Styela clava: one gene and its partner. The main gene of each other region encodes a partner of the protein of the gene in region 2 in a complex. Links are inferred from orthologs where the notes say so. Each region holds a gene or a part of one and is shown on either strand. Other genes may lie near its edges.

Region 1 (10,931 bases), on a different chromosome or scaffold from region 2:
CTTATGACATGCGTTGTTCGCTTTGCACAAACTAGCTGTTATGGCATTGTAACGTCATAGGCATAATAAAATGGACTCTAGAAAGGCTTTGCAACGCAAAGTGATTGTAATTACTCGCACGTATGTGATTAAACTAAATTAATAACTGAACAAACTGGCACTTCTCTGCGTGCATATTACCTTTGTCCAATCCACAATTTGCTTTGATTTGCTGTTCTTGCAATCGTTTGCGGTCACGGAGCAACAAAAAACAATGCAGAGAAGACAAACTGCTATTTTCATTTTTCCCTTTCTGTATCTGAGCATATTTTCCGCAGATATCGAAATGTATTTTACCCGATTAGTTTCATTGCAAATTGATAGAAATAAATAAAATTATAGAATATTATTATTCGACTGTCAAAGATGGACAAGGCGAATGACTTTTTATCGGTATCGCAGAAGGTCACTGATTAAGTCAAGGATACAAAGGATTTTCAGTCAGCACGATGACATGTCTCATGACAACTCATTAAAGTTTTTAAATTAAACTCAAAATAAAACCCTGATTAAAAATTTGACTCAACTTTCTTCTAAATTTACAAATTTTACCCACTTGAATAATTTGGATTGGATAATCAATTCGAAGCACACAAGTCGTGTTTTTGTCTCAACAATCACAAAAAGATTTTCGATTTATCCTTTAAATAACAGTGAGCAAAATATATCTCACATTAGGCCAAAGTACCAACTACAACGAAAAACTTCCAAATGAGCAGGCTTTCATCCCTACTCTGCTGGGAGCTTTTGAATATATTTCGTGATGAAACCTGAAACGTGCCGCCTGATGTTCTCGATCGTGAAACGAAAACATCAAAACATTGAAATGTGTACCGAAGGCATCACGTACACTTTCCTCGTCTTGAAAAGGGTGCGCGTAAATACTAGAGTTCAATATAATAGGGCTATCTTTTGTTTATTTGCTTGCAGTTATAACGTAATTAGCTATTTTTTTTTATTGAAACATCCCCAACAACCACAATTAATTTTGTCATTAAATGTCCGAAACAAACACATAAAATCATCAACAAATGCATATCACCAACTCTTAAGAAGATATTGCTGAATTGATCTTTTTGTTACCATTTTACATGTAATGATTTTTGGTAAACCTGTTATCTATCGTAATTACAGCACATTTGACTATGTTGTAGTGTAATTTTTTGGCCTAACTTTTTTGATATTTGTAGTTAGATCTCTTGGGGCTCTGTCAAACAAAGTTACATACAAAATATTGGTTGTAGGTTGCAAAACATGATCATGTTGTTGGAATAACTTGGCATTTTACCACCCGTAAACCATTCATTGTCGAGAATATTGATGAAATCATAAAATCTAAAACCCGTTCTCGTGAATTTTTTGTTTCAAGTTTTGTTCGAAGCATTATTTGTTGACGTTTATCTCAAAGACCGAATTGTAACTTGCGGTACTATTCGCCGATCCCCACGGTCTGATAATTCTAGAAATGAAGATTTTTCTAATCTCATGAACACTGTTTTACCCTCATTATCAGAACATATTATAATGATGGGTGACCTTAATTATGATCTGATGGACTAAGTTGATAAATCAATATTCTTTTTATCCCACTATAACCAAACCGACCAAAATAACCAAAAACAGCGCAACAATTCTTGATCATATATGGACAAACATATACGAGCGAAAACCTGTCAGTGCTATTCTAACTGATGCAATCTCTGACCACCTACCTGTAATGCAGTGCATGTCGACAGAACAAAAAACACTTAAAAACGAAGAAAACATTTTTCCTCGATCATTTAATCCGACCAATATGACTAAAGTATTCTTACTACAGATCGCTTTTGAGTAAAACTTTAAACTATCTGAAAAATCGTAGCAAACAATGAATACCCTGCTAGGTCGATGCAAATCTAAACTGTCAAATGTATTTGGTGTAGGAAATAAGGAAACGTGTGATCCTGTATTGATAGCTGATCATTTCAATGATGATTTTTTTACGTTACAGGAAAACGAATGGCTGATAAATTCACTAATGATAACGACGGTAACTTTATGAGGTAGGCTACATGAGCAAATCTAGTAACTCATCAATGTTTCTGGCATCGGTAACAGCCACAAACATACAAGCTATTATTCGAGCTTTTAGACCTAAATCCTAAATCAAGCTTGATGGAGTCCCCATTAAAAGGTTATCAGAACGATGCAATGGAACTACATGCTCTCTCTTATACATGTTTTTAATCCTTCTCTTCAATCGGGACCATTTTTAGATGAATTTAAAATCGCTAAAGTAGTACCGCTTCATAAAGGCGGAGACTTAAAAAATGTCAAAAACTATAGACTGATTAGCTCAATGCCATCTTTTTCAAATATTTTAGAAAAAGTCGATCATTCAACAAAAAATATTAACTTATCATGCTGAGTACGGATGGCGGAATCGAGTCCGGAGTTAATACTAGAATCGATTCCGATGAATTAGAATCGAATCTCGAGGTTAAAACTTGGATTACAAACAATGTGTAACGTTTTGTGGCAAATCCTTCACTTTCATGCATAAACTGCTTTACTGCTATGTTGATTTGATACGACACCGCAAACTGTACAATATATATTGCTAGAAGGACTCTGCGTTTATTATTATCTCCCTGAGTTCTGAGGTTTTTATTTTTGTGCGATTTTGTTTCCTGTGACAGATTGGATACTCGTACTACTTAGTTTCGGCCTTCTTGTCCGTCTGCGAAAAATCGCCACATTAAACTTAAATTTAAGGCGCACATGCACCTTCTATTGCTGTGCTGAAAACCTTTCACAATGAGACGTGTAGCATGTGTTGTTTTTATTTACTTATTATCAACGTGGAGGATGATTTTGTTTCTGTGTCAGGGCCAAAGCGTTAAAATCAATCGACCTCCAGCCAACGGCATTCTGATTATGGAAAGTACTGATATGCATTTTTTACAATAATATCATTTATCATCGAATTCAAGGTGGCAGGATTTTATTAATTTTACAAAACTAATAACGAGATGCACCATTGAAGTCGGTGCCCACACAAGTAATAGGAAGAAAAAAAGAAAGAGGGATTTACATTTATTTGGTAATTACAGAACATAAACATATGCCAGGGATGACGAACCACTGACCCGCAGGTTACAAAGTGAGCCATCGCGTTTTATTCGTGACCCGCCAAGGCAGGAATAAAATTAAAAAAAATGCTAATATATCAAGAATAAAAATTGATAAAACCGGCCTTAAATTAATCTAACAATAACTGAACTATTATAATGTACCGTCAGTTGGGCAGTCAGAGCTGCGATCGCTCATATTCAAATTGTTAATTTTGAGAGCCGGTATGGTAATTTTCAAAACCCCTAATCTTGGACGCATATCTGCATCGCTGTTATTCAGCTATTGGCTTTGACATCGTTTATGACTTAACAATACAATCGATCTGTTCATTTCTCACAACGTCTTGTCTTGTCTCTTTCGGAAGTACATCTGCAGACTGTTTTGGAGGATATACGAGAACTAGATGCTACTTTGCATTTTATTAGTTGCTCGCCTACGATGCCGTTGGGAAAACAAAATCTTTCAGACTTGAAATAAAAACCTAGAAATCTGAAATAACATTGGGGCAGTGAAAAAGTGCTTCACTGTGATTGAAAGCTGATCGAAAAATATAACACCATCAGAGTGGAATTACCTCCAAAATCTTTGAATCCGTAAAATATTTTTTCCGAATTATCACGTTTTGGGCAACGACTAACGGTTTTTGGTAATTCATATGCGTGTTTTCGTACTCTAATTTTATAAAATCGAGTGCCATAAAAATTCCACGATAGAAGTGCTGCATAAGTAAAGCCCAAAACTACACCAACAGAAGCCCATAAGATTTGTTTCAGAGGTTTTTTATAGATACAAACATTGATTAAATATCTGAGACCATGGTTAACCATGCTGAGACCCACTCTCTTCCGTTCCGCGATAAAATTATAATTTTTGACCATCTAAATCAGCTTCCGTGTGCAGTTTGGGGTCAATGATGAGGGAGGTGGACAAATTGTACATAATAATCATTATTTGTGAAATGGTCAAGAGTAAATTATTTTACGTTAGCAGTTCGCATAAAAGCAAACCGTCTGCCAGAAGGTGGCAGTATTGAGCCAATAAGGATTTGATTAATTTTTGTTAGATAGCCTATCACTAGAACGCAGGCGCCGTTTCACAGTAAGCCTGTCTAGCTTACCGCTACCCGCGAGTTTATTACAAATTGCCTAGACAGCGTAGGTTTATTTGTTAGTGTACGCCGTACTGCATGTAAACTAGCTACTAGCAGTAAACTATTACCGTAATACCCGGATAATGCATACATATATCATGATTGTAAGTTGAAAGATCGAAATAAAATTGTATTGTAAGAATAGGATTTCATAGGCTACCGGTAGCTCTGAGGAAGTCTGTAAGTAGACTTTTTCTCATCCTGTTATAGCCTAGCTTTTGGACTACTCGTAACGCTTCCCTTTTTTCATCGGACTAGAGAGCCAATAGCTGAATACAGGAATAACGGTACACAGCGGTGCTGATTGCTCACCAATAAAAATCGGTTTAAAAGGTTTTTAAATCAATAATCCAGTAATATCTGAATATGAAGATGCCAACAAATTTTTGCTCCACAATTGTTGACTAACGTAAGTTACCCTATTATCGCCACTTGCCAATTTTCACCACACTCTCTTAAAATCGCACTGCTGCAGTTGCACTTCAGCACTTTCAGATAGCGCTGAATACGAGTTGTTTTCGGATTGCGACGTCATAAGTGATAAGTATGAAACATATTATGTCGCCCGGTGGAGTACAGACATTTTAATAAAAACATGAATTTTTGAAAAATATAAAAATCAACTGATATCACGCGCGGTCAACTTTTTGGGAGGCGGTAATTACTAATTATCAGCCCAAATAGCGCGACGATGTTTATTTCTTTTAGTTTTTATCAGTCCGTGTTAGATCTAGGTTGAATCAAGTTTGACATGGGAAGTGTTTGTAAAAATTGTGCTATTATTAACTCTCGCATCCACAGGGTGGCGATAATAGAAAAAGAAACTTATGGCTCGCCAAAAGAGAGAACCGAAAAAATCGTGAAAAAACAAAGCAGCAATGCTCAAATATATGAGCACGAAAACCAAAACGAAGTGGTATCAAATCTTCCACAATAACAGTAGTCTCCCTTATTAAAAAAAATTCCGATTTCGATGACCGCCAGAACGCCTAAATGTGATCGCAGAACCGCCATGCTAAGATGCACAATTATTTATTTTGATGACCTCATCGCATAAAACTTAGGGAGTGAAAAACGAATCTCGTAGGGCCGACAAAAATGTTTGAAATAAATAAAAGTAATAGCCTTTCAGCGGCCGCAATAATATTTAATCGTTGAAAATTTCAGAGCAATTGATTATGTATTTAAAGAGAAAAGCGTTTGGAAAAAAAAGTTTGACATAAGTGGCGATAATAGGATAATCGTAGTTCCTATTATCGCCATACCCACATTTCTGCTATATTCGTGAGGTGTCGCTATAGCAAATTCATTTCGCGACTCAATGCTGTTGGCATTTTTTTCTCCGATTGGTAGCTAATGTTCCGGGACAATAGAGAAAAAATTGTTACTTTAGAGTATAGTAGTCTTCGGATGGATTGCAGTAAAAAGTGACGATAATAGGGTAATTTATGTTACATACTAGCTTGCAAGATTTGGCCTGACCGAAAAATGCGAAGCAAAAAAGACAGTATTTCAAAATTGCTTAGCGCTGTGGCGCATCGTGTTGAGTGATAGGAATCCCGTGGGAATAGTTATGGGCGAAAAGATTGGCAGACTAGTCGGCGCTGGTCAGTTATGGCTCTGATTCAGCGTATTTTTTATACAATAATTTTACACGGATGTACTGAACAGTACCAGTATCTGAAGTCGCACAAATACTCTCAAAATTAGTGACAAGGTATAGAAATAATATTTGGGGTCAAAGGTCAAATGTCCATGTTCAAATGTTTGTTCTGATTCAACATATTTTTATCCAATAATTCCATGTAAAAACACTCCCAAAATTAACAGATTAGTAAAAAGGTATGTTCATTTTGCTCTGTTTCAACGTATTTTTGATCCAATAATTTTAAGCGGATGTACTGAACAGTACCGGTATCCAGAGCCGCACAAACACTCAAAATTAATGACAAAGTATAGAAATAATGTTTATGGGTCAAAGGTCAAACGTCCATTTTTGCTCTGATTTAATGTAGTTTTTATCCAATACCAGTAATTTAACGCGGATGTATCGAACAGTATCTAAAGTCAAAATCAGTTGCACGTGAACGCAGGTGTTTTGCATGTCATGAGCTATAATTGCACGCCTGGAATTCTGATTTGCATGCGGGAATTTCTGATTGCACGCCCGATTTCTCGTTCAAAAAGGCCATGAAATCCAGACTGGCCTGGGCATATACCACCATATTTACCTCTTATTTATTTGAGTATAACTTTCCTTTACAGATTGTATAAAACAATATAAATATCTGTATGATAGCATAACAAAAATGACTGCATATGGAGATGCCCAAAAATATTTTTTGCAAGCTATGATGCAAAAAGGATCAGCGACTGACCATGAGTGTGACTCACTCTTAGATGAGTGCTTCAAGGTTTCAGAAAAAAATAGAGACCAGTGGACACTATCATCGTTTATAACATCTGTAAATAAACAAATTCAACCTTTCCACCTAGAAATAAGGAAAGGCAATGATGAAGATTCTGGACAAGATGTCTATGCACTAATAAGTGTCACAGATCATGATATAAATCATTTAGTAATTGGAGGAAATTTCACGAAAATAGAAATTGAAATTTTTCACCGAGCTGTTGATCTTATCGTTAGCTCAAATACAGGAATGGTTTCATCTACTGATATCCTCAACATAACGGAAGAATTGCCTCAGAAAAATATTTTGAAATCTGAAATCGAGATTCTGATTACAAAGCTTGTGAAACAAAATTGGATTGGAGAGAAAGATGGGATGGTATACCTCACCCCTCGTTCAATACTAGAGTTGGAACCGTATATAAAAGCTGAATTGAAGAATGAGGTTTTATACTGCAACATATGCAAAAGTATGGTCTTAAAAGGAGTTAACTGCAAGAGATGCAGAAGTAGAATACACTTGTACTGTGCCTCCACTTATTTCAGGGGTAGATCAATGGACGAATGTAAATGCCCAGTCTGTCATGATGTCATGACGTTACTTCCATCCTTGCCCAATATGGATACATCTCGTGTAAACGGAAGTATGGAAGGTCTGACACCAACAATTAATGAACGTAGAAAACGAAGGCGATGAATGGAAATACTATTCTATACTCAATAACAAAGATTATGGGATATTTCTCGACTATTGTGAATGCTCCACACTTTGTCTGGAGCATTCAAGTTATTTTGAATGAATAAGATTAGGTTTCAGAGTGAAATCATATGCCAAACTGTGTCAATTTTGTATAACAAAAAAATACTTCATAGAACAACATAGTTAAATGGAGATTACTAAGCTGTGTTAATGTTTCGCATAACTTCGTGGCAAAATGAACATACTTTTCAAAGTTGTTTAATGTTTTAGTATATTTTTCAATTCGGTGTGCCACCCATTTATGAATATGTACATACACTAGATGTGATACTATGTAATATTTTACAAAGTATATTTGCTTTATACATTCTAATTTTAGGTGAATATGGCAAAAATTATGACTACCAGTGTTAACTCTAAGCAAATTATGAGTGCGAAAGTGCTTCGCAGTCCAAAAAAAAAGTGCGAAAGTGCTTTTGCCGATTTTAACAAGTTAGGTGCCCTAGCCTTTCATATAACCCATTTAAAACGGCATAGATACTCGAAAAAGCGCTCCTCCGGTTAATATTATGAATTAAAGAGAAGCCTTTTCGTTAACGGAATCCCTTTAAGCGAATTCATGTTTAATTAAAACAAGCGAATTCATCGGCAACGAAATGACATCTGCTAACACCTGCCTACCTACTTTCATGCAATGTATCACGGTGTCAGTTGCTTACTCGCGTAAACAGCAAAGACTTTCACATTTGTTACTCCTTCCATCTAACAGACACGAGGCCGGCTGGAAACCATATTAATTACAGGGTGGATCGTTTGTACAAATCCGGTGCAAAATAATCCCCCCCCCCCTCAAAAATAAATAGCAATCAACTAATTAGGGTTAGGTGCGCTAGAAATTCAACTTTTCGATTCATCCCTAAACCTAATCTGATAATTATTAATTTGTGATTTTGAACCGCTTTGAAAGTCGCCACCCGCTGTTTTAAAAGATAGGTTAACCTACGTTCCCTCCGAAATATTATGCAGGATACTCCCCTGTTTTAGGAGATAGGTTGACCTACTTTCCTTTCAAACTTTTTTCTCCGAAATATTACACAAGATCACTTTGAAAATCCTCCTGTTTCGTGAGCTAGCGTGACCTAATTTCTCATTTACATTTATATTATACTATTTCAGAGCTTCCCCAAAGACAAGTAATTTTTAAATGTCCACATGCCTTGGTTTGCGTGCGAGTTAGTTTAAATCGGGCAGAAAACATCATATATTGGCAAAATGTTTAGTAATGTCATGTACTTTCAGCATTCATAAATAGCACTCTTTGTAATGCTGCTGACCTAGTATCAAATATTCGCATCACAACGCCACTTGCGAGGTTTCCATATATTTCAATTACACTAATAGGAACGATGACATCAAAGAGTTTTCTTTTGCGAAGGTACACTAAATATAACGAGGGTGATTCTTGAGAAAAACATGAATATAAAAAATAAACGAATGATATGATAATGGATCCCAAATAATTTTGAGAGTGTCTCGAAATACCAATCCATTTGATAAATAATTTTTATTCGACCACATGAACGCTGATATCCTGAAAATTAATGTTGAAAGCGAATTACGCATTCTCAAATATCGGACATTCAGTCCCGATATTCAATCGTTCATATGCACAAATCTCACATTAATAGTAATTGCTACCCAAGTTTGTAAAGTTTAGAAACCAACAAACAGAAAATAACTAACCTAAAACACAATTAAAATTCAGTCGGCAATAAATTCGTCGCCAAGACGATGCCATACAAAACAAAAAAGATTTGGTCGCGAGAGTTACGTGAGATGACTGCCTTTGTTTTTTAAGCAGAATGTAAAAAAATTTATAATTAATAAACGGGAGTTACGACGCCCTTTACACATCGTGTGTATTAAACTTCCCTGGTAGGTACTTTGGTGAGTACTATTATTATTGTACCTATACACCTGTTGGAGTATTTCGGACAATTTCGAATTTAAAATAAATGAAAACCAGACATATAATGAAGACGCAAAAGTAAAATGAACATTTATTGAAAAAGTTATTATTTAAGAAAGACAACATGATCGTACAATTCCGCCAAAACCTCGATGTTCGCAAGTGAGATGATAAATAAATACTTCCCTGTATTCGATCAATTAACTTTAGCGTATCGTTGTTCTGCCAACAAACAGCCGGGTGCAAAATATTTCCGTCCTGTGATATGCTCAAATATTCCCGATATTAATATCATACCCTCGCGTATGTACTTTCTATTAGCTCTTTAGTGATCCCTTCCATCCTTGGCCAAGTCATGTTTCGAATATGTGAACATTTTATTCGGCCATACATGGCCGGCGGGATGTTAAAATTGTAAACAAGAGAGAGGTAAAATCAATCGCGAATTTCGTTATAAAGGCTCGTTTACGAATTGTTGCGCCTGTTATCGTCGAAAATGCTTACACTTGCTGTATTTTGAGGCATTCAAGCAGTAATAATTAGGGCATGACATCATCAAAATCGTCAAGTGAGATCTTGATATTGCAAATTCCGTAAATAAAATTGCGAATTATTCGGTAACGAATTCAGCTTTAATGACCGTCGGGGTATTGTTTTGTTGAAAATTATTATTAATTTGAGAGCGCCAAAAACATACAGTCCATACCGATGCGACTGCAATTTATATGGTCGCAATTGGTGTGGCGCGTTTATTAATAGTGTAAAATAAATTAAACGAATATCAATTATAACCAAGCCTGTCAGCGTGTTTATGTTCTGTGGGCAGGAATTGTAAAATACCATCTTGAGACAAATTCACTTCCATTATAAAATCTTAATTTTCAGTTATTATCGTTATACAAATAACGTGTGGCAACTTTTTAATTTATCGTCGATCAAAAAACCGCCCCACACTCGTCCAAACGTGTGTCGAGCTTGAACGACAGGAACAGATTCATCGACGACCTTAATTAGGGAAAATATGTATTTTATTGGGAATGCAAAATAAATGTAACAAAACGCATGTTTTGTGATATAACTTTGTATTTTCGGAAACGGGTTGCCGTGAAAGGTAAAATTTGATCTAAATTAATTGCAAAAATGTTTTATTTTAAATGTAACAAAACACATTTTGCGATATAACCTGGTATTTTCGAAAACGGGTTTCCTGAAAAGTAAAATATGATCTAAATTAATCGCAAAAATGTTTTATTTTAAATGTAACAAAACACATTTTTCGAGATACAACTTTATTTTCAGATACCGGGTGTCATGGAGAGTAAAATGTGATCTGAATTCACCGTAAATGATGTTTCATTCCAAATGTATCATAACGCATTTTTTTGCGATATAACTTTGTATTTTCGAAAACGGGGCGTCACGAAAATTATTAATCTAATGTTTTATCTATCGTCTAACTAACGTCTGGAACACATCACTAGCCCGCGAAACGTCATTTAATTTAAAATAGAGAATGTTTCACGCATTTCAAAACGAAAAATCACCAGTA
Region 2 (10,943 bases):
ATCCTTGTATATAAGCAGACCCCCTAAAACGGGTTTAGAACCGCAAATTTATAAAAATTCGCATATGGGCCGACCCTACAAATCGTATCACACCGCACGCACCTTCCACAGCAAATTGTTGCAGAAGATAATTAATGAAATTTAGTGTGATCAAAGTTATGCGCGTATAAACTCGACTTATATGCGAGAATGTATGGTACTTTCTAAACGCAGTCTAATAAAAAATAACTTTTTAAAAACGGACTGATATTTTGTGACACATTTCAATTATCTAGCAATGCACCGATGCGTCATAGCACTAACTTTGGAAACCACTGTTTTATGCAATTACTACTTCTCATTTCTCCTCAAGTTAATCAGTAGCATGGACGTAATGCATTACTATATATCTACGTATATTCAGTAGATAATGGTATTTTAGGGATCGTTCATACATTTGCTCATAATAATTCCTCTTTACACCTAAGAGGTATTTTTTCCAATCCAATATTTTCCAAAATGAGTTTGTTTTGGCCATGAAATACTTGGCTAACGTACCAAGAACTTGAATATATTCAGTCTTTTATTGAGCGATAATTCATTCACGGATATAATCACAAATTTAAGAAAATGGAAAAAAAATTACTTCAAAAGTCATATAAAACCTAAATGAAAATTTAGCCATTGTACACAGTCACCTTCTATATACAGATACAAGATAAAGAAAATGTTCTCGTTAGGCAGGATAAGATATTGAAGGAAGATAGCCACAAAACAACCCCATATAAATGCAAACTGACAACCATTTTTCCTATTTTTTATATGCAATCGTCGGTATTACATCTCTTTAGTAATATGTATGGAGGACCACTGGAAAATCAAAACAACGATTCATATGTACAGCAAATCACTTTTAAAAGTAGATGAATACTTTCTTAATTTTAATATTAATTTGTTTAATAAGTTGGTGGTCAGGGACTAAAGATGAAAAATTCTGTGCCATAATAAACTCACTCAGACAGTAAACAGAAATAATACAGAAGGCCTATTACACATTGGATGCATGCATGACAATGTTTACTTTTGTGTACTTTTAGCTTGGTATTTGGTAAAGTTAATGATTAACTAGAATTTGAGGTTTGTATTTTTCACTCTTCGAGAGTTCTTTGTGTGCAAAGTGAGGGATAAATTCACTACTAACACTGAAGCCTATTTCGAAATAACTGGAATACCAACTTAAATACAGTATAAATTAAATGTTATAACAGCAAACAAATTGTATTGTTTCAAAAGGAGAATACACAACTGACATTAATATATATTTCTATAGTATTTAACCTGCGATAACTAATCATCGACTTTTGAAATTAAGATTGTTTTAAAAGAAGTATAAATTAAAGATAAACAAAATCTACAATTAATTTTTGTTGTTACATAAAACTCGAATGGACCGTAAATGTTACCAGTGGCATATCTGAAGAATGACAGCCATGGATTGTGTGCCGAAAAGGCCTTAATCGCAAAATGTTTCAATAGAATAATTTCAAACTGGGAATTTATCTCTACCGAATAGGTTGTTCCAGAACTTTTATATTATCTAGGTTGCCCAATCATCCGAATGTTTAGATTAGGATCATTTTAATAAAGACCTTTGTTAATTGACTTTGAAATCGTACCTAATAAAGCTGTATAAGGATATTCAATACAAAAACTTGTTATTGCACAAGGATGCCAATTACGTCTATGAATTGTTTATTAAATATGACAATGTTGGAAACAAAACCTACTTTTCCCAACTACTAGAAGACCCATAACTTTAAATCAAAATAGTTTGAATTTTTTCAGTCACACTAAAGTACTTTTGTTGAACAAAACGAACAGAAAACTGTGTGAACTTTTTTCAATAAAAGATTCCTTATACAAGAGTCATAAGCCTAAAAACTGATTCTTATATTTCGAAAGTTTTATTATTAATGAGGAGTTGAAAAAAATATCAATATGCCATTCAGATCTTATGGAATTGAAAACAAACACAATGAATGCCTGTTCCAGTATACAAACATGGTACAGAAAAGGATTCCAACTCTATTCAATCTAGTAACTCGATATACACAAGTTTAATTTTTACAATGGAAGGACTCGGTTGCATCATGAGACGTTGGTTAGGCCAGTGTGCGTTTCCACATCAGTCTCGAAGGACTGAATAAAACCAAGATAGTACTTATTCAACAGCGATGATTTATTTTTTTTCTGATGTTTAATGTCTTTCCCTCTGAACAAGGATCTGTGTAAGCTACTACTATATCATGGAAGGACCAGAATCTGGCGTTCCAGAAGTGTATGTACCAATTTGGAACATCAAGTTGTGTAAAGGGACTGAAACCTATGGCAGGGTATATTCACTTGGCTAACACAGACAGTCCTCGAGCTCGTAATAAAACTAAAATAAGGAAAATCGGAATAAAATTATGGCCTAACCCTAACCTGGTATACACACTAATAGAGTAGGCTACCTTATTTATTACATCCTGGTTAAGATAGTGGCCATGAGTGAGTTTTTGATTTACCGAACTTAAACCTGCAATGCTAACATTGTGAATCCACAGAATCTTTTAATCAATAGGTCACCGTTTGAAAAACTCTTTAAATTGGTATCAAATATAACATTAAAATTCTATTACAGATTTCACTTGAATTTTCAGTGCTCTGCTGTAATGTTGTTCAAGATGAGTGTCCTTTACTTTTACGTTAGTGTGTAATCTTGCTTAAAGCAAAAGATAGAATACCGAAAAATACAATTTTTCAAGAAACTATGCCAAATAAATGAATTACTTACCGCCAGTTCAGTATTCTCCAGAAGCTCAATTTTATTCATTTTCGCAAAATCAGCAACTTTTTCTTGCGGAAGAAACTGACATAGATTGGAAAGTTGAATGTTCAAGCCGCTTACAGTCTCTTCAATAATTTTCGCTGATACCTGATTGAATATCAAAGTTAGATTTTATTTTATTTACCATAAATGGTAGAATACTCTGAGTATACTTACCAATACTCCGTCCCTGTACCATGAAGTTGTTGATTTATTTGAATTTGTGTGCTTTACTATTTCACGACAGATTAGGATGTTTTTAGGTTCATCATATCTGTTAAATGTTAAAAACAGAGGGATTACAGGAAAAGATGAATTACCTAGCAGGGGGGAGCACAAAATATTGTACTGCAGAATATAAATTCTTCCAAGGGTAGGATACCCTATGTAGTAGCAATGATTTTAAACCCCATACAAAAATACCGTAAACAGCATGCTATAGACTCTGATTTAAAACAATTATGTAGATAATAATTTTCGATTAAATTAAATTTAAATATTCAGTTTTTTTTTATGTAAATTAAATTTGGTACTGTTCCAGTATGATGCCGCAAAAAAAAAATTGCTCAAAATTTTCAGTCTCGTTTGCTCAAGTATTCACTCTTCCCGCTTCTTACGCTTCATCGATATCCAGGTCAAATTAATGGAAAAGTAACGATTCTTCACTTACAGTTCAATTTCGATGATTGCTTTGGTTTGTCCATATTTAATATATTCTCCGACATCTTTGGCTCTAGCGAGGTAGTTTGTCTTTCCACCCAATCCTAGACATATTGCACAAACAATGCTGGATTTACCGGTGCCATTTGGACCAATAATGACATTCAACTTTGGATTCAACGAGAACTGGAAGCTGTCATATGTTCTGAAATAGATATGGAATTAAAAAATAAATTCAAATAATAAAATCAATGCAAGACAAGGGCTGTAGCTGTCTCCGACTCAGGACTAAGCTCCAGAATTCCAGCTCCGAAATCTGAGAAAATCAATCAAAAAATTCAGAATTTTTACTTCCACCCAGGAAGTTTAAAAATATGATACTGGCTCAAGTAAAAACAAATTCAAATTCCACACTCCTGGTTCTTTTTTCATTTCTACACGATTCCTATTAATTTCACAGTCTGTTCTCAGTCAGATTTTAGTAGCAACTTTATTATTTCATACTCAAAACACGTTTATTAATTAAAGTTTTTCTACGCAAAGATACAAAAATTTTGATCGTACAAAAAATCTTTCGCAGCAATTCTGACGATTGATCCATGAGTAAATTTTTTCTTCGACTTCCTGTTACTCTGTCCAGAACCAACGACGTACGACTCATCATCTTCCATGACTGCTTTTAGCCTAATGGTAAACCAAATTCTGTTTACAAAGAGAATGATGGACATAAACACAATATTAGACAACTGGTAATGGGTCCTGATGAAATTTACGGTAACTGTTTAATGATACTCAAGCTTTTCTGTTGAATCTCTTCATGTGGATATTTTGGAATTCTTTTTTCCTCCCTCCTAAGCATAAAACTACTTTATTTGTTCAATCATCAATGGATCCTTTGCTAGTACGCAACTCACACACAACTGTGTTTCTGCACAGTTTATTATGTGTTCGTGAACAAGTACTATTTATCGTACTAAAAAAAAAAAATTAGTAATACCACAGTGAATACAAAGCAAAAGTACTCCCCAAAAATGGCAAAAATCCTTCCTGGAAAAGAATTCCTCCCCTTTTGAAAACGTTTCATAACAGGAGTGTGCCTTGTCAAGATTTTTTCATATCAAGCCCAAAAATCTAATCCGACAATTTATGTTACAACTTTTGTTAAAGCTGATGTTAACAAATTATGCAAGAACTCAAAATTTCAAAGTGCTACTCAATCAAAATTTTCTATTGTGGAAATTTTTTGGTTCGATGTGTACATGGTTACCTAAATTGTTTGTGTGGCCCAGCTAGATGAAGTTGGTTTTATGGCCCACCGATAAAAAATGTTGCACGCATCTAGTTTAGACCGAGACTATAAAATTGGGGAACATTTTTAAGAGCTCGACTCTAGGTTGAAAAAATGAAAATTTCGACTGCTCTTGAGAAAATCAAATTTTAATAACAAAATATTTGGCAAATGCAAATACTCTTTAATTATCTGTTCATTTTCTGATCCATTTTCATTTTAAGTTAGGATGAACACAAAAAGGCAATAATCGAACTTATCCAAACCTAACATGAACAGAATCAAAGAGAAGAAATCGGAAAATTAATGGTGACGTAACAATACAGCAATACTGCAATAGGATAGTGCCTCATGAATGAATAACATAAACATATCCTATATGAAAATGAATGGAAAATAGAAGCATCAACGCAGGAAATGTGAATCATAGAACATAATAACAGTCAGATTGAAAATTCCTTATTCAGTAATTCAAAAATTTTATAAAATCATCATAGGTGTCAGCTCTAACTCAATATATTGGTACTCAAAGAGATTTACTCAAGTAATACATGGAACCCAGCAAAACATACAAAAGTAGCCCAACTAGTACACTACTGGTGTTAAATATTCCCCACAAACCAAAGAATCACATAATCCATTAATTCCACACGAATTTTATCATTTCAGCATTTTGATCACTCCCAGATAGAAAGGTAAGACTAAATTAAATTTTAAAATCACCAAAGTTTCATCAATTTTAATTAAAAAACATATATTATTAAATTAAAAACCCCAGTAACGGTGCTGAAGTACGGCACTCAGACACAGAACCGAACTTTGGGTGAGAGAACACGTACTGCTTCTTTTATCAATACCTTTCCATCTAAAATCTGTACGTTTCAAACCTTACTCTAGGTTTTGTTCGCTTTCCCGATTCTATAATCAGTTACTTTTATCTATTTCTTATCGTCTATTGCTGATTATGGAGTCGAAATAAACTTATACTTATACAGAACCTGAAAACGGTGAATAGACAAACTGCCGAGCGTGGGCAAAATAAGCGTGCACTAACAACTGGACGAATGCATGTGTAAAACCACTTTCAAGCCGCAAAACCTACCAACAAATAACTAGACATATTTACAGTTAGCAAAATAATTAACACTTAAACTACAACAAGAAACAAGATATCTATATCACTAAATAAACCTCCTCCGGAAAGACTTCCGCGGAAAAATCCCGAAGCTGAACTGTCAAAACGAGGTGAAGAAAACAAACCAACTCCCGCAGGACGACGTCACGGTTGACAGTTTTGCGCCCTTTGCGGTTTGTTTGTTTCTTTATTTTTTTCAATCATTCGTCTACAACTACTGATGTGCAAAATCAAATCAAAATTCCAACCACCAACGGTAATAAAGAGCAACAAGTTTTCGGTACTTTCCCAGTGCTTTTTGAGTTATACATAGCAATGCTAAAAAGCGTGAATATACGTGTGTGAAGCGAGTTGTAATGTACAATACATGTTGAAAAAATATTGGATTATCTGTTGCGAGGTTTGTATGAGAGTTATACGTTATAGGTATGTAAGCTTAGCCATGAGAATTCCACTGTTTAAGCAACAGACAGGCTGTGGCTGTGCGAATTAGAAATTCCTGCTTTAATTTTGAAGCGCAAGTATTTAGAGTTTCTGTAGTGTAAATGTTAATTTAAAAATTATACAAATTTTGCACCTAGAATCTAGAAGTAAAATACCCGGTTTAAGAGGTGTGATACAGTCTAACGAATTTTTCATAAAACCAGAAAGAAGTGTGGAAACGCACATTTGATTGCTACAATAAAAAAAATTCTAATTGGTTCAATCGTGGTACATAACAGTGTACAATCAAGAGACATATTGATTAGATTGTAGTAACACGTATTTGAGCTCTGTTATCACAAGTGAGATTGCCACACTGGCATGGGGTTCTGCCGACTCCACACAAATTTCTAGTCACGACACGAATAACACACAATAGTAATCGAATCTTTATTTGATTAAAAACTTTGCTGCCTGAAAATCTAATGTATTCCACAAATTTGAATATGTGACTGACTCTTTGTTATTATTTTATTATCCTGGGATCGCCTGCTGAGTCATTATTTCGACTGATATATTTTCCACAGGAGTAGACGTCACTATCCTTTGCTGACTCCAAGCATCTCGTTTCCTCTTCTTCATATGACTGCTCTAAAAGTTGAACAGGTATTTGTTGCTCTATATTTATTGGATCAATCTACGCCTTTCTGCTGAATGATAAGGTTTTCTACTTCTGTCATCAGAATGTTGAATATATAGCGTGGCTTTGCATCTGGCAAAATCAGAATTTTACAGTGCTGTCGATCATATTTAATCGTTAAAACATGTCGCTACAGATATAGCGTAATGTGAATAAGCTTAGTTACTCACGTTTGAAACTGATCTGAACTAGAAAATTATAATTGAAGCAGAAATCTAAAAAATAAGCAGCATAATAACGCAGGGAATCGAAGAACACACTTTATTTGCTCAAAGCAAGGTTAAGGTTTCTATCGACTAAAAGTGGGAAGGAATACTTTTCGGTAAGAGTGCTGGCTTCCGCGATTAAAGTTTTATAAATATCTATAGCAGGGGTGGGCAAGGTAGTTTTCCCCACCGATACCGGCGGGCCATGTAGGTGGAAAGTTACACGTGAACACACACAACAAGTGCACGAGGCGAAAGAAAGAGGTGTGAAATGCACGCTGTCGAATCGAGTGGGCGAGAAAACGTAAAGTTTTGTTAACGTCCTATATAATGAATGTCTGTGGCAACCTAAAATACAACTTACACAGATTACGATCATAATCTAACAAGCCTATTGCAGTGCTAGATTTGAGAGTGCGCGGTATACGCGTGTAATATATATATATATATACATGGATCAAATTAAAAAATAAACTAATTTGTAATAAGAAGGTAATGCAGCGCGTTATGCAGAGTGCGCGTCATATTCGAATAAATACGGTGAGCAATAACTGCTAAGCGAGGCCAAAATTGTCTGCCGGGGATATTTTGGGACAGTGTATTTCAAAGCCTCCATATGTTTTCACTTCTGAATGGTATGAAAATCGAAAGGAGGAAATAAGCTTAGAATATAGTTATCTGTTTAAAATTTTCAAAATTCAATAAAAACAACGATTTTAGTAGACAATACAATCAATTCAAACTTCCAGACGATAGGAGAGTGACATGCGCGGTCAAAAGTAATGATAGAGCTTGTCTCAAAGTTTGAAACCCTGAACAACGCGTAACGCCAATGAATTATGTATTTTTAGTATTCAATGTAACAAATTTTATATATATATATATTTTATTTTTGAAGCAAATTTTATATATATATTTTTTTGTTTATACGGATTAGGCCGACAAGTCTGGAATCCAGCCCAAAAGCCTTCATGCCCAGACTATGCCGACGGAAGTTCTATAGCTCATTTTCTTTTCGAAAAAAGAAGAAATCGCTGGTGTTGTAACCTAAGTTCTGTCTAAGTTCTGGCAGCTTCTGGATCCAACTCCAGCGGTTCTGGCTTGAATAGTCTATCCATGTTTAAGTTAATTAAATTGTTGTAACCTAAGTTCTGTTTATTACTTCACAAACAAATCCATCCACAAATACTAGGCTTTAATTAACTTAAACGTTAGCAGCACCTTAAAGCAGTTCACAATGAAATGATAAAGCACCAACAAAACATGACTCAGATAAAAGCAAGTCGAGTATGACTCGTCAGACAAATTACTGTTGCCAGTAAACAGATAAGTTGAGAATACCAAAATATGCAATAATACAATATAAATTACCACAGCTGGTTCCACATTATTGTGGTTAACTTCCTTTCATCACTTCTATGATTTACGAAATAGAAGACTTACCTAGATCTTATGATACGTCTATGAGCACTATTCTCAATACGTGCGTTTATGCTAGCCAGAGAAATTCGTCCAGTCTGAAAACAAAGGTGCTGGTGACATTTTTTTCGAAACTAGCACCCCCCCCCTTCCTTCAAAAAATAAGGAAAGGTATAACAATGTTTCTGGCATACTCTGGCATAATTATCTTACGGAAAATTGAAAAGCGATTCGTCGGCCAGAACTATCTTTTTGTCTGAACTACAACACAAGGAACGCCATTGTTAAACAAAATGATTCATTGGTCCAACAATTAGCTGAAAATCATACAGTGTACAAATTTACTCCTGTCGTGAGCACGTCATAATAATTTTGAATAATATTGTGAAGTTCGAAAATACAATTCGGAAATTATGGCCATTTAATAAACAGAACTCAAAATTGCCTATCTCATGAAAGATTTTTTGGACCGGTGCAGCAATCTTCAAAGTGTCAGGTTAGCAATACTGAAGTTTTGTAGCCTACTGTTTTTCTTTGTCTCTCATCGTAAAAATGTTACGTACCAGTTCAACCATTGACCTTAATAATAAGTCAATAAAGACCAATGACATTAAACAACATGATAGGCAACTCTGACGTCACTCCATAAGACTACAGGCAAAACATTGTATTTCATGATACGCTCCAATGCACATATTTCTCGTCGCCTTTCGCGTCCGTTTTCCGCTCGCTTTTGCTACTCGGCGTTTTTTTTACGTGTAGTACCTGCCTTTTTGCGCCTGTAACGAAACAAAATAATCTCTATATCTAAGAAGTTTTGCTTACTTGGAAAGCTGGAATAACAGGCAAGCTGTAAAGAGCAATTCTGGACATCATAGACGTTTTTTTTTATCAGAGAAGATTACAAACGCGATAGCGGAAAGATTTGTGTGGAACATTTTGCAGATAATGACAAAGTTCAAAGTTAGTAATTTTAATGTTTGCGCTTAATCATTGAAATTTCATTTAAAGAGGGTGTCATACAAAACTGTGCTGCGATACAATTCCATAACACAAAGTTTGCACCTATCGAACTTGCTTTTGTAGGTGAATTTATTAGACATATTACATATTCAGTTAATCGTAGGTAACATTGCTGGTACATAATGCATCATAGAGGTTTGTTTAAATTTAGGAATTTAGCTCATAGCCCACTAATTAATATTATCTTCTATGCAGGAGGTTGCAGGGCTGAATTCAACTTGCAGCCTTACCGATCACCTGACGATGCTCATTTAGTTTGGCTCGAGCAAGTCTCCTTGAAATGCTTGTGTGGATGGAAACTACCTATATTTTTTGCCTTCCTCCGATTTTAGACAAATTTATTCTGAGGGATTTCGCATATAATTCTCACTGATTGTTGGCTGTTTATAATTCCTATTGATTGTGAATTCTGATTATAACAATGAGTTGAAAATTTTTTTACCTAATTTACTGGCACCTTTTTCTTGTCAATACTCCAAGCTGAGGTAATAAACATGACAATACATTTATGTCATCTGGAAGCAAAATATGCACACTAATTAATAGTTTGGCACATTGAGATATTACATCATGACAGAAAATACAAGTTAAAGACATGTATGACCATCACATGGTAATTAAAATTAAAAAAAATTAATAGGGGCTGTGGAGTATGGAAAGTTCAAGACAAAGAAAAAGACAAATGTTCATAGCTCATGAACTCTCAATTTTGCCTCCATTGCTTTGTGAAGGCCAATATATTTCGAGTGGCTGAATTGGTTTACCTTTATGATAGCAACGATTTTGTATTTAATATAGCGAGATTATTTCAATTTAATTGAAGTGATATAATCTCCCAAAGCAATGCTTGAATCGTCTAGAATAGATCAGTGGTGTCAAACTCATGGGTTTTCGAGAGCCGCATTGCATTTTGAAAATTGTAAAAAGAGCCGCAAACAGTTTTTGATAATGTATACTTAAAAGATATTTTTAAGATAGTTTTAATTTGTGACATATATTGTGATGCAACTAAACAGTTGGATTAAGTTTTATTATTTTCTTCAATTTCAAATGCAATTACATATTAATATTTGCATTCCACTATTATTGCAACATTTGCAAGTTACAGTATTTATTATAAAAAATCGTAAAATTCTATGTACAACCATCAAAATCATTTTTGAACAAGCTTTGAATAAGGAAAGAATAATACATACACTAAAAATAACTTAATCTAAATATATGAACCTAAAATTAACAAA

Evidence for each region.
Region 1: structural maintenance of chromosomes protein 5-like (region 2) and non-structural maintenance of chromosomes element 1 homolog share a complex: the UniProt entries of both Homo sapiens proteins name them as parts of the SMC5-SMC6 complex. The link is inferred for Styela clava from reciprocal best matches to the Homo sapiens genes SMC5 and NSMCE1.

Annotation. Positions count from the first base shown.
Region 1 is NC_135251.1:24,043,891-24,054,821, reverse strand, and holds the start of non-structural maintenance of chromosomes element 1 homolog, read left to right. Parts: upstream 1-6,554; 5' UTR 6,555-6,612; coding exon 6,613-7,410; 3' UTR 7,411-10,931. Other genes in the region: uncharacterized protein LOC120336825, read right to left, coding at 181-306. UniProt on the Homo sapiens protein: RING-type zinc finger-containing E3 ubiquitin ligase that assembles with melanoma antigen protein (MAGE) to catalyze the direct transfer of ubiquitin from E2 ubiquitin-conjugating enzyme to a specific substrate.
Region 2 is NC_135250.1:26,786,828-26,797,770, forward strand, and holds the start of structural maintenance of chromosomes protein 5-like, read right to left. Parts: upstream 4,232-10,943; 5' UTR 4,180-4,231; coding exon 4,073-4,179; intron 3,714-4,072; coding exon 3,519-3,713; intron 3,123-3,518; coding exon 3,026-3,122; intron 2,957-3,025; coding exon 2,816-2,956; intron 1-2,815. UniProt on the Homo sapiens protein: Core component of the SMC5-SMC6 complex, a complex involved in repair of DNA double-strand breaks by homologous recombination.